Sus scrofa: one gene and its partners. The protein of the gene in region 3 binds, or shares a complex with, the protein of the main gene of each other region. Links are inferred from orthologs where the notes say so. Each region holds a gene or a part of one and is shown on either strand. Other genes may lie near its edges.

Region 1 (4,114 bases), on a different chromosome or scaffold from region 3:
CACTGTAGGAGTCTTTTGCTGTTGTTTTGCATGCGGAAGTACCCAGGCCAGGGATAGAAGCCTTGCCACAGGAGTAAGACTGCTGGATCCTTAACCCATTGAGCTACCAGGGAACTCCTGTTGGAGTCTGTCTTTAACACCCTAGATAGCATCCTAGTCTGGCAAAATTTTTTGATCTGTAGAGACAGTTCATGAGAAGTATTTGAAGCAATGAAACGGGTCATTTCACTAACTACAGGTCTTCATTAAAAAAGAGTACTATCATATGAAAACGAAGACCCAATGTAGTCTAAGGCTAAGGCTCATTAACAGAACCCCTCAAGCAACAGCCCACGCACCACAGAGTAGCACTTGACTCTGCCGTATTTGTGCTCTGCTCAACCTTCCCCATCTCAGACTGGGGAGACCCTTACTGCTCCAGCCAGACAAGACTTCTCAGGCCCCAAGACCTCGCCCTCCGCAAGAAGGGTGGCCACTGGGCCATCTCCCTATCCCTGCCCACCTCCCCCTCGGTCAAGGTGACTGCTTCACGCGCAGGGCTCAGAATACTGAGGTCCAAATGCCTTCACTGTCTTGTCAGCACCCTGGACACACTTTAAACGTCTTTAAAATCTCCCAGTACATTAACAAGAGTCACTACAACAGTAAGGCAAAAGCAACCTCCTCTAAGCTCAGTAAGGTAGCGTCCGAAACTCCTAAAATCTGAGACCATACGTTCTCCTAACCCTACGTCACTCCCTGGGCACAAGAACTACTACTCATCCTTCAGGCCTCAGCTGGATAGGTTTCTTCTCCAAGAAACCTATCCAGCACTCGGCAGGCAGCGCTGGGTCTCTTCTCCCGGTGACCCATGCCCCCTCAATCTGGACAGTGATGACACCCAGAGTCCCCGACCATGCACGCCCTCGCCCCTTCCAGAGCCAGGGGCTCCTCCGGTGCAGGAACGAAGCCGAAGAAGAGTGCAGTTATGGCGCCGCCCAGGTGCTGAGCCTTCGCGGGATTGGGCGCCTGTTTCCCAGTCAGGAAGACTTAGGCTACACGAAGATAGGAGTCCCGGAGAGAGTCACAAGGCCGTCTTCCAGAACAGCTTCTCGGCGCTTCCCGCCACACCCCGCCCATCCCTCCTACCGGCACTTCCGGTTCCGGCGTGGCCCGGAAGTGGGCGGGCAGCTGCGGCTGCGCGCGGAGGAGGTGGAGGAGGTGCCGGGTCGCCGCTTCCCGCCCCCGAGCCGGAGCCGGTTCCGAGCGGAGTGGAGTGGAGGTCTGCCCCGGAGAGGAGCTGGCTGAGCGGGCGCCGAGCCCCCGCCATGGCCCGGAACACATTGTCCTCGCGCTTCCGTCGAGTGGACATCGATGAATTTGATGAGAACAAATTCGTGGACGAGCAGGAGGAGGCGGCGGCGGCGGCGGCCGAGCCAGGCCCGGACCCTAGCGAAGTGGACGGGCTCCTGCGGCAATATCCTTCCCCAGCGCGGCGGCCTGGGCTCCCCTTTGGCCTGGCCTTCCCACTCCCCTCATCCCCGGCTCCGGCCCTTCAGGCCGACCTCCCCAGTTCTCTCATCCGTGGTTCCCTCAGGTCAGTCTCTCAGCTCCCTACCGATCCAGCTCCCCTCGGACCAGGCATCCCCACTTCTCTCACCCGGCCTCTCTACTTCCCTTGTCCCCGGCCCGGACCCCTGGAGCCCCTGTATCCTGGTGGGCCGGCTTGCTCGGCGGCCCCAGCAGCATGCCGGACTGGCGTCTGGCTCGGCTGGCCCCTCCTCTGCGAGGCCTCTCCTCTTTCCTCCCCCTTGCCTCCTCATCCCTCTCAGGCTGGCCCTTCCTTGGGTGCCCTGTCACTCCATCTCTCCCAGGCAGGAAACAGGGCCATTCTCGGGCTTGATCGGCGGGAGGGGCCAAGGTGAGCTACCGCTGAGTAATTGAGAGGCCAGGGCGGCTCCCAGACACAGTCCTCTCGGGCTGGATTGCAGCACCACATGAAAATAGGTGGGTGGGTGGCTTCGGGGAAGAAAGGACCCACGTGGGAGCGAAGGCTGCAGCCTTAGCCTTAGTCCGGCCCTGAGGTCTGCGATTCCATCTCCCATCCCAGAATCGTTCTGAACGTTCCAGCTTGATGCCCCTCTTTCTCACCTCTTCGTACTTTCCTACAACCGTTGGGCTTTGGACCTCCATGGTCTTAGCCACTTTCAACAAGTGAGTCTTGGCTCCTTCCCCCCAATAGCCTTCTTGTTCAGAAAGCAGTGGAAAAAACTAGTAGTTTAGAGCTAAGAAAAACCAGGCAACGTAAAGTGAGATGTAAAAGTAGAGCCCCACGACTGGAAATGAGTCTTCTGTGGTCACAGAAAACAAGCATTTAGAAAACAAGATTAAAAATAGAGGTGGTTGTCACAGCCTGCTTGGTCGCTTAGCAGTTTGAGCACAGGAAACTGACTTATTCTCACAGGAAGGATTTTTCTTTATTCAAATAGTGTTACAGGAAGTGCCCACCCCTCCCCCGCACTTGCCAGGGCAAGGTTGGAGGCTCAGGCTGTACTGTATATAAATCAGGTTCTGGGTGTTTAATCATTTGACTCAGCTTGGCAAGTCGAACCCATTTGACTGCCTTTGGGAGGAGTCCTGCAGTGTTCCTCCAGTGGGCCTTGAAACAAAAACCTTCAGACATTTTTTGTTTGAACAAATGTGTTTTCAAAGATGGGGATTCAAACTTGGATTTCCTGCCCCATCAGGATCACCTTTCTTACCCCATTGGTGAAATGGAGTTATGAGAAGGTACCCATGAGGGAACCTTGATTCTGCAGTCTGGTGCAGAACCTGGCCTGTGGGCAGGCATTGCCGAAAGGGCTCCAGAGTCAGGCCTGTGGCTCAGACCATCCACAGAAGGGGAGAACAAGGCCTGTTTATCTGCTGTCTTCGTCCTGGTGCTGTAGGGACTTATCAAAGGTCATGTCTTGGTTATGCTTCTGATGTGATAGGTTCCTTGAGGCTGCTTGGAGGCAGGGGATGGTAGTTTCTTCACTAATGGCAGTGTCAGAAACCTGGTTACCACGGAGGATGTACTTCTTGGGATTGGGGAAAGGGAGGTTAGCAGATGAGAACGGAAATCCTGGCAAATGTAGGGCCGGGAAGGGAGGAGGAAGGAACTAATATTTGCTGAGTCCTTACCGTGTGCCAGGTATTGGATTTACATTAGATTAATAAACTATAGAACAGGTTTCTAGGAGTCTTAGGACAGAGCAAGGGGAGTAGGGATAGGCGTTGATGGGGGACGGGGGTGTGGGGAGTAAGCCTGTCCTAGTGCGTAGAGGGAGGCCTGTGGTGATGGGAGATCACACAGATGAAATGGAGCATGGGCTGCACATCCGCACACACCCAGCTCAGTCATGCTCTGGCTCTGTGACTTTGAGCAGATCTCATTCGCTCTGTGACCCTCGGCATCTACCTCTGTGAAAGGGAGGAGAACCAAGCTTGGCTTACAGGTTCAACAGCGGCATCACCGGACAACATGCCAGAAGGCTTCAGCACAGGGCTGGACACACAGCAAGTGTCCTGGATGTGCACCTAGGGTCTGTGCGTGGCGTGGCAGCCAGAGGTTGTAGAAAGAGCTTGGCTTTGGAATCAGGCATACTTGGGTTTGAAGGCCACCTGGACAGCTTAGCTTTGTGACCCTGGGCAGGTCATTTTCCTTCTTTGAGCCTCAGATTCATTGCCTTTAAAATCAGAATAATCACTCTTGTCACAAAGAACTGTTAGCAGGGATGAGATTACATGTGAAAACACCTGGGCACAGGCTCTGAGCCCTTGTAGGGATTTTTAAGCACTAGATCCTTTTCTTGCTTGCTGAGGTACCTTTTGGTCCCTTGGAGCGGGAATCTGGCAAGAGCAGTGGTTTTGAGTGATTTTGCACTCTCCTCCCCCTAAAGAAATTTGTCTATTTTTGGACATATTTTGATCGTTACAACTTGGGGGGTGCTACTGGGATCCAGTGCAGAGAGGCCAGGGATGCTGGTAAATTGTATGATGCACAGGGTAGACCCTACATCAGTCATCTGGTCTAAAATGTCAGCAGTGCTGTGGTTGAGAAACCCTGATCTACAGGTGACTAGGTGCTGAGTCT
Region 2 (3,323 bases), on a different chromosome or scaffold from region 3:
GTAACAGAATGATTAGAATTTAATTCTATTAAATATTATAGAATACTCAGAAATGGGAGGAATAAAAAGGTAATCATATATAATCCCACTACCCATAGATAATTATTACTTTTTGGTGTTGCTCTATGCTTAAAGAGTTTTCCTATGCATGTTTTTTTTATGAAAATGGAATTTTATAACCTGCTTTTTCAGCCATACAGCAATGTGCATGAACCTCTTTCCTTGGCAATAAGTTTATTTCTACAATATCCTTTTTAATGGCTGAGTATAGATAATAGTGTAGTTTATATATAACTCATCTCCTTTTGTCATATGTTTAGATTATTGACCTTTCTCTTGTAAACAGTACTGAAATCAACAGTTTGCGTAAATTCTTAACTTTTTTTTGAATAAATTTCTAGATGTGAATTACTGGATTTTAGACTGCACATTTTTTAAAGCTTTGGTATATATGATATTGCCAAATTGCCCTTCAGAAAAGCTGTATAAACATTCCCTGTAGCAGTCTTTCAGTAATTCTTAAGACCCTATTTACTTATTTATTGTTTAAAATGAAGCCCAGGGAGTTCCCGTCGTGGCGCAGTGGTTAACGAATCCGACTAGGAACCATGAGGTTGCAGGTTCAATCCCTGCCCTTGCTCAGTGGGTTGACGATCCGGCGTTGCCGTGAGCTGTGGTGTGGGTTGCAGACGCAGCTCGGATCCAGCATTGCTGTGGCCCTGGTGTAGGCCAGCAGCTTCAGCTCCGATTAGACCCCTAGCCTGGGAACCTCCATATGCCGTGGGAGCGGCCCAAGAAATGGCAAAAAGACAAAAATAAATAAATAAATAAAATAAAATAAAATAAAATGAAGCCCAGAGCATTGACACCACTGTCGGTAGCTATTCATACATTCTAGAAGCCCCAAGAATCCCCTTAGTTGAATAGTCGTAAGTAATAACTTAGGTTAATGCGTAATAATTATCTAGACAACATAATCTTTTATACGGGGGAAAATTGGGGTTTTTTAAAGTATGTAAAGTCATTGAAATTTTAGTTTTACCACCTTCTGTTTTCATATGGGTGTTTTTTTTTAATCATAGCTTGTGGGTGGGAGGTCATAGCTCTGGGTGCAGGGATGTTTTTCTAAATAGAGTAATTACATGGTCTTTAAGCTGACGATAACAACAGGTGGTAGAGACATACTGCAAAATCCTGACCAGTGGGAGTATTGAAGATAGCACTTTGTGTGGAATAGGAGAAACATTGTGAAAAAGGGGAAGTTAAGGTTCCCTGTGCTGGGCTTGATGGGTGAAAAAATGACTTTGCTGTTGGAACTGCCTTTTATCAAAGAAAAAAGGTCATAATCCAAAACTTAAAATGTTTTCTTAAAAACTTAAATTTTTGCTTATTAATAACTTATTTCTGAAGGATGGTTCAAGATAGAATTGCAATTTAGTTTCCTTTTTTGTTTTTATTTTTAAGATCAAGAAATAGGAGTTCCCATTGTGGCACAGCAGAAATCAATCTGACTAGGAACCATGAGGTTGTGGGTTCAATCCCTGGCCTCGCTCAGTGGGTTAAGGACCCGGCATTGCCGTGAGCTGTGGTGTAGGCTGGCAGCTATAGCTCCGATTCGACCCCCAGCCTGGGAACCTCCATGTGGCTCGGGTGCTGCCCTAAAGAGCAAAAAAAGAAAAAGATCAAGAAATAAAGTGTGTTGATTTAATACGTTGGTAAATTATCACATCTGTCTATCTGTAAGCAAATTCTTTTCTTTCACCTCTACCTTCAAATATATCAAGAATCTGTCAGAGAAAAAAAAAATTTTTTTTTACTTAAATAGGAGTTCCTGCTGTGGTGCAGTGGGTTAATGGTCCTGCATTGTCTCTGTGGCAGCACAGGTTCAGCTCCCCAGCCCCGTGCAGTGGGTTAAGCATCCGGTGTTGCAGCAGCTGTGGTGTAGGTCACAGTTGCAGCTCAGATTTGATCCCTGGCCCAGGAACCTCCATATGCCGCGAGTGTGGCCCTAAAAAGAAAAAAGAAAAAAAAAGCTTTAATAAAATAAAATACCATTAAAAATGATAATAATAATCTGTCCACTTCTGACCACCTCTGCTGCTACCATGCTAGCCAAAACCAGCCTGTCTTTTGCAATAACTTCCAAACTGGTTCCCTGCTTCTGCTTCTGCCTTATCTGAAGCTCTCCCTGCCCTCCCCAACCCCCACGGCCCCAGGCTTACGCTCTACAAGGCAGCCAACATGGTCTTGCTACAATGTAAGATTATATCACTGTTCTTTTGAGAATCTTCCAACATCTCATTTCTCTGACTGGAAGCCAGAGCCCTCCCAAGGGCCCGCAGGGCTTATGTCCTCTTCCCACCTCGGCTCTGACGTCCTGTCTACCCTTCTTCCTCCGCTGCAGCCACCTTGGGTCTTTTTGCTATTCCTTGACCCTTGAATATACTGACCACACATTAACAGCAGTTCCTCCTTCCTGTGCTTGAAATACTTTCCTCAGAGACACCCAAGGTTTCCCCTTTCTTGTCCTTCATGTCTTTGCTCAGACGTCACATTCTCAATGTGACCTTTCTGAAACTACCCCCACGCATGTCTAAATGATCTGGTATTTATTCCCCTCAGGATCGAGCAGGCAGCATTGTCTTGAAGGTGCTCATCTCTTTTAAAGCTAACGATATTGAAAAAGCAGTTCAGTCCCTGGACAAGAATGGCGTGGATCTGCTAATGAAGTATATTTATAAAGGCTTTGAGAGCCCCTCTGACAATAGCAGTGCCATGTTACTACAGTGGCACGAAAAGGTAAGTTATGAGTTGTAGATCTGTATGACTTCTGAATGACTGTTTCCTTTGGAATAGAGAATAAGATTGACAACCTCCCTCACCTAAATAACTATTTTAACTTTTGGGTTATACTTCTTTGTTATTGTGAAGAAATTCCATGAAAATGAAAATTGAGATTCATGCTTACTGGCCTTGAGATGTTGATTTGTTAACAGTGATAATTGTTTATTAAACGCAACCTTTTACTTAAATGATAAACCTTGAACTTTGAACTACATCAAAACATTGAGAAGAAAATAAGCAATAAAATCAAGAATTCCTTAACAATGACCAAAGCGCCCATGGACAGATGAACAGTTAAACAAAATGTGATACATACACATGATGGAATATTATTCAACCTGAAAAAGGACATTCTGGTGCATAGTGTAGCATGAATGAACCTTGAAAATCAGCAGAGTGAAATAAACGAGACACAAAAGGATAAGTACTGTGTGATTCTACTTATATGAAATATCTAGAATAAGCAAATTCATAGAGAC
Region 3 (3,651 bases):
ACATTTCTAGCATCTGCTTTAACTTTGTTTTTGCTTTTCGCTGTTGCCTTCAGTGGTGATTTTCCAGAGATCTGGTTTTGGGGTTTTTTGTTTTGTTTTTTTAGAGTCCTGGTTTAGCTCTTATCTTTTTTTTTTGAGTTGTTATTTTTTAAAGTTTTCAAGTCATATATATTAAACCTCTGTTTTAAAACATCTTAAAGTCTCGCAGCAAATAGTAGCTATTTCTGATACAAGGATTTTTTTCTCTAAGTTGGATTCATCCATATATGTAGAAATCAGGATTGTTTAATATTTTGAATAACTGATTTCTAAAATAAGTTTAAATTCTGAGTCCTCATTAGCTTTACTATACATACAAAATACGACTTTTCAAATGTGGGTCATCTTAAGTACGCTCTCATTGGAGACAAGACTTGTGAGTATTCTGCTTTATGTGTGATAGCATAGCTTCGCAGTATTTAAGATTGAAAGTGTTGCTGAGATAATTTCAAAGAACAGCTGTTTCTCTGTGTCTTAATTTTTTGTATCTATACAAATTGTCATTCATCTTTGTGAGGCATGTATAGAAACTTAATTTCAGTTCTAATTTAGACATATATAGATAGGAGTTTGTGAAATTTACAAGTTATGTGGTACATATATCCATTATTGTAGTGTAATAAAAATCATTTTATTTTTTGCTTCTCATTGTGCTTTATAGTACCTACACTTATCATTTTGATATTTAGTACAAAGAAATGTGCTGCATGCATTGAGCATTTTTCTACAAGTTTTTTTTTTTTCCCTGATGTGCTATCTCACATATCACAGGCCTTATTTTTTGAACATTTGAGCAAAAGAAACAGCTGAAACCTCATACAAAACCCTCCAAAATATGAAAATGTGGGGTTTATTTGTGCTAATGCTCTTCTTTTGGAAACATGTGTGTTAAAGGTAAGGTCAATTTATTGCTTTAAACCACCTTGTACATAAAATGTACTTTTCATAATTAAGCTTTGCAAAGCATTGTTCATGAAAGAAAAGATCTCTTTAACTTGTGGAATGAAGAACTTTATCTGAAAGTGCCAGAAAGATTAAAATTAATTATTCCCAAGCCTTCCGAAATATCATGGGAGGATAATTTTCTGAAGGCATTTTATACAAAAATTTGGTCTAAAGCTTTGATATGGTTTTCTAGGACCTTATGGTTGGTGATGAGGCAAGTGAATTACGCTCAATGTTAGAAGTTAATTACCCTATGGAAAATGGCATAGTACGAAATTGGGATGACATGAAACACCTGTGGGACTATACATTTGGACCAGAGAAACTTAACATAGATACCAGGAATTGTAAAATCTTACTCACAGAACCTCCTATGAACCCAACCAAAAACAGAGAGAAGATTGTAGAGGTAAGTTTTTAGATGAGTTGTGCATATATGTGTTTCTGTGGTGTGATGGTAAAGCCAATTGTTTTTTTCTTTCATCTTACCATTGTTGTTGAGAATGGAAAGGATAAAAATAATTGTTATTTCCTCCCAGATGCTATTTACTGAGCACTTAACTATATGCTAGTCATTATTTACAAGTAGAATATATCAGTAAACAAAACAAAATCCTGCTGCCATGGAGCTTACCTTCTAGCAAGGGAAAACAGACCACACACACACACACACAGAGTTAATTGAATGGTTTGTTAGAAGATAATAGATGCAAAAGCGTTTTAAAAAAATGTAGGTTAAGGGGCAGATAGGGAATGTGGGGAGGTTGTGTTTTTCATAGGATGTGATGGTACAAGTCTGTGAGAAGGTGATGTTTAAGTAAAGACAGAGTAAGGGAGTTAGCCAGAGCACTCCAGGCAAAGGGAATACCTGGTGTAAAGGTCTTGAAATGGGAACAAGCCTGGCATATTAGAGAGTCAGCAAGGAAGCCAGTGTGGGAGAGCAACAGGAGATGAGGTGGAAGGAATAATGGGTCAGATGACCTGGGGCTTGTGGCCTCTTACAGAGGAATGGAGGGCTCTTACAGGGAAGGGACACATTCAGATTTAGGTTCCTGTTGACTGCTGTGTTGAGTGTAGAACATAAGGAAGTGAGAGTAGAAGAGAGACCAGTTTGGAGACTTTTTCAATTATCTAGGCAAAAGATAATGATGGTTAGGATTAGGGGTAATAGCACAGAAGGTAGTGGGAAGTGGCCAGATTGTGGCTGTATTTTGAAGGTAGGACCAAAAAATATTCTGATTCCTTAGGTATGGGTAACAGAGGGATAACTCCAAAGGTTTCAGCTTGAGCAGCTAGAGGATGGGGAAAGATTGTAGAACAGAATTTGGAAGGCAGATGGGTCAGGTAGTCAGTTTTGGGCATGTTAGGTCTTCATTAGTCATCCTAGCAAAAGTGTCAAGTGGATGGTTACCTGTCATGTTCAGGAGTAAAGTCTGAAACAAGATAAAAATTTGAGAGTCATGAGGATATAGATAATATGGTTCCCCAAATAAGTGTTGTTAGCTATATAATATATATCATTCCTTATGATTTATATATTTTTTCCTAGCAACTCCTTAAACTATGAAAGATGGGCTTTATTGTATTAGTTTATATTTTAATTGAATTTTAGAACTTTCTAAGTGATTTACAATCACTAATACTTTGTGATGGATAAGTAATCATTGTAATTGCTATTTATTTTTAGTAGCACATTACAGAATCAGATGGCAGAGATTTTTTTTCATTAAACTAAAAAATTACTACACAAGGAAACCTCTTTAGGAAGGTAACACAGTACCAGGATGAAAATCAACTTCTCTTTCAAGCAAAAGTTTAGGCAGATGACATTATGCCTGAGTGCCTTTTCCACTAACTAGCATTTGACTAGGACACATACTGTTTTAATCTGCGAAAATGACAGGACTTCGTCTTTCCTCACTCTAAGGTCTCATATTTGTTTAATACTCCTTTTACTTGTGAGTGCAAACTTGGCTATGATTCATAATGCCCTACTTTAATCTCATCCAGAGAGTCATTTTAGAACTACAAATACTTTCGAATGGTTTTATAAAAACAAATTCTAACAGGCTGTCAAGTTAATAAATGCAAATACAGTTGAACCCTGAACAGCAAAGCATTTAGAGGTGCCAACCCCTCTCAGTGAAGATTTACATATAACTTTATAGTTGGCCCTCTGTATTCAAAGTTCTCCATCCCTGGATTCACCCAACCTCAGATCACATGGTGGTGTAGTATTTATTTATTGAAAAAAAATCTGCAATTAGATGTACCTGTGCAGGTCAAACCTGAGTTGTTCAGGGGTCAGCTGGATAGCATCACTCTTCCTTTTTCATCCCTGTGGAGGGGAAATAAGGATGATGGAATAGAATAGTAGTTAGAACATCTAGTTGCTGGAGTTCCTGCCGTGGTGCAGCGGTAACGAACCTGAGCACGTGGGTTCGATCCCTGGCCTCACTTAGTGGGTTAAGGATCCACTATTGCCATGAGCTGTGGTATAGGTCACAGTCACAGCTTGGATCCTGAGTTGCTGTGGCTGTGGTGTAGGCCGGCAGCTACTGCTCTGATTCAGTCCCTAGCCTGGGAACTTCCACATGCCGTGGGTTTGGCCCTGAAACAAACAAACAAACAAACAAAATCTGCTTGCTTAATTGCTGAGTATTTCAG

What was found.
Region 1: the proteins of ACTR2 (region 3) and ARPC5L are in contact, whole or in part, in a cryo-EM structure (PDB 6YW6), measured with the Homo sapiens proteins. The link is inferred for Sus scrofa from reciprocal best matches to the Homo sapiens genes ACTR2 and ARPC5L. Residues at the interface, in NP_005713.1 of Homo sapiens: Tyr225, Glu263, Phe266, Gln267, Arg319, Lys322, Gln323, Ser338; in NP_112240.1 of Homo sapiens: Arg11, Arg12, Val13, Asp14, Ile15, Asp16, Glu20.
Region 2: ACTR2 (region 3) and ARPC5 share a complex: the UniProt entries of both Homo sapiens proteins name them as parts of the arp2/3 complex. The link is inferred for Sus scrofa from reciprocal best matches to the Homo sapiens genes ACTR2 and ARPC5.

Annotation. Positions count from the first base shown.
Region 1 is NC_010443.5:265,644,493-265,648,606, forward strand, and holds the start of ARPC5L (actin-related protein 2/3 complex subunit 5-like protein), read left to right. Parts: upstream 1-1,307; coding exon 1,308-1,456; intron 1,457-4,114. UniProt on the Homo sapiens protein: May function as component of the Arp2/3 complex which is involved in regulation of actin polymerization and together with an activating nucleation-promoting factor (NPF) mediates the formation of branched actin networks.
Region 2 is NC_010451.4:124,841,671-124,844,993, reverse strand, and holds part of ARPC5 (actin-related protein 2/3 complex subunit 5), read left to right. Parts: intron 1-2,622; coding exon 2,623-2,799; intron 2,800-3,323. UniProt on the Homo sapiens protein: Component of the Arp2/3 complex, a multiprotein complex that mediates actin polymerization upon stimulation by nucleation-promoting factor (NPF).
Region 3 is NC_010445.4:76,711,982-76,715,632, reverse strand, and holds part of ACTR2 (actin-related protein 2), read left to right. Parts: intron 1-1,177; coding exon 1,178-1,393; intron 1,394-3,651. UniProt on the Homo sapiens protein: ATP-binding component of the Arp2/3 complex, a multiprotein complex that mediates actin polymerization upon stimulation by nucleation-promoting factor (NPF).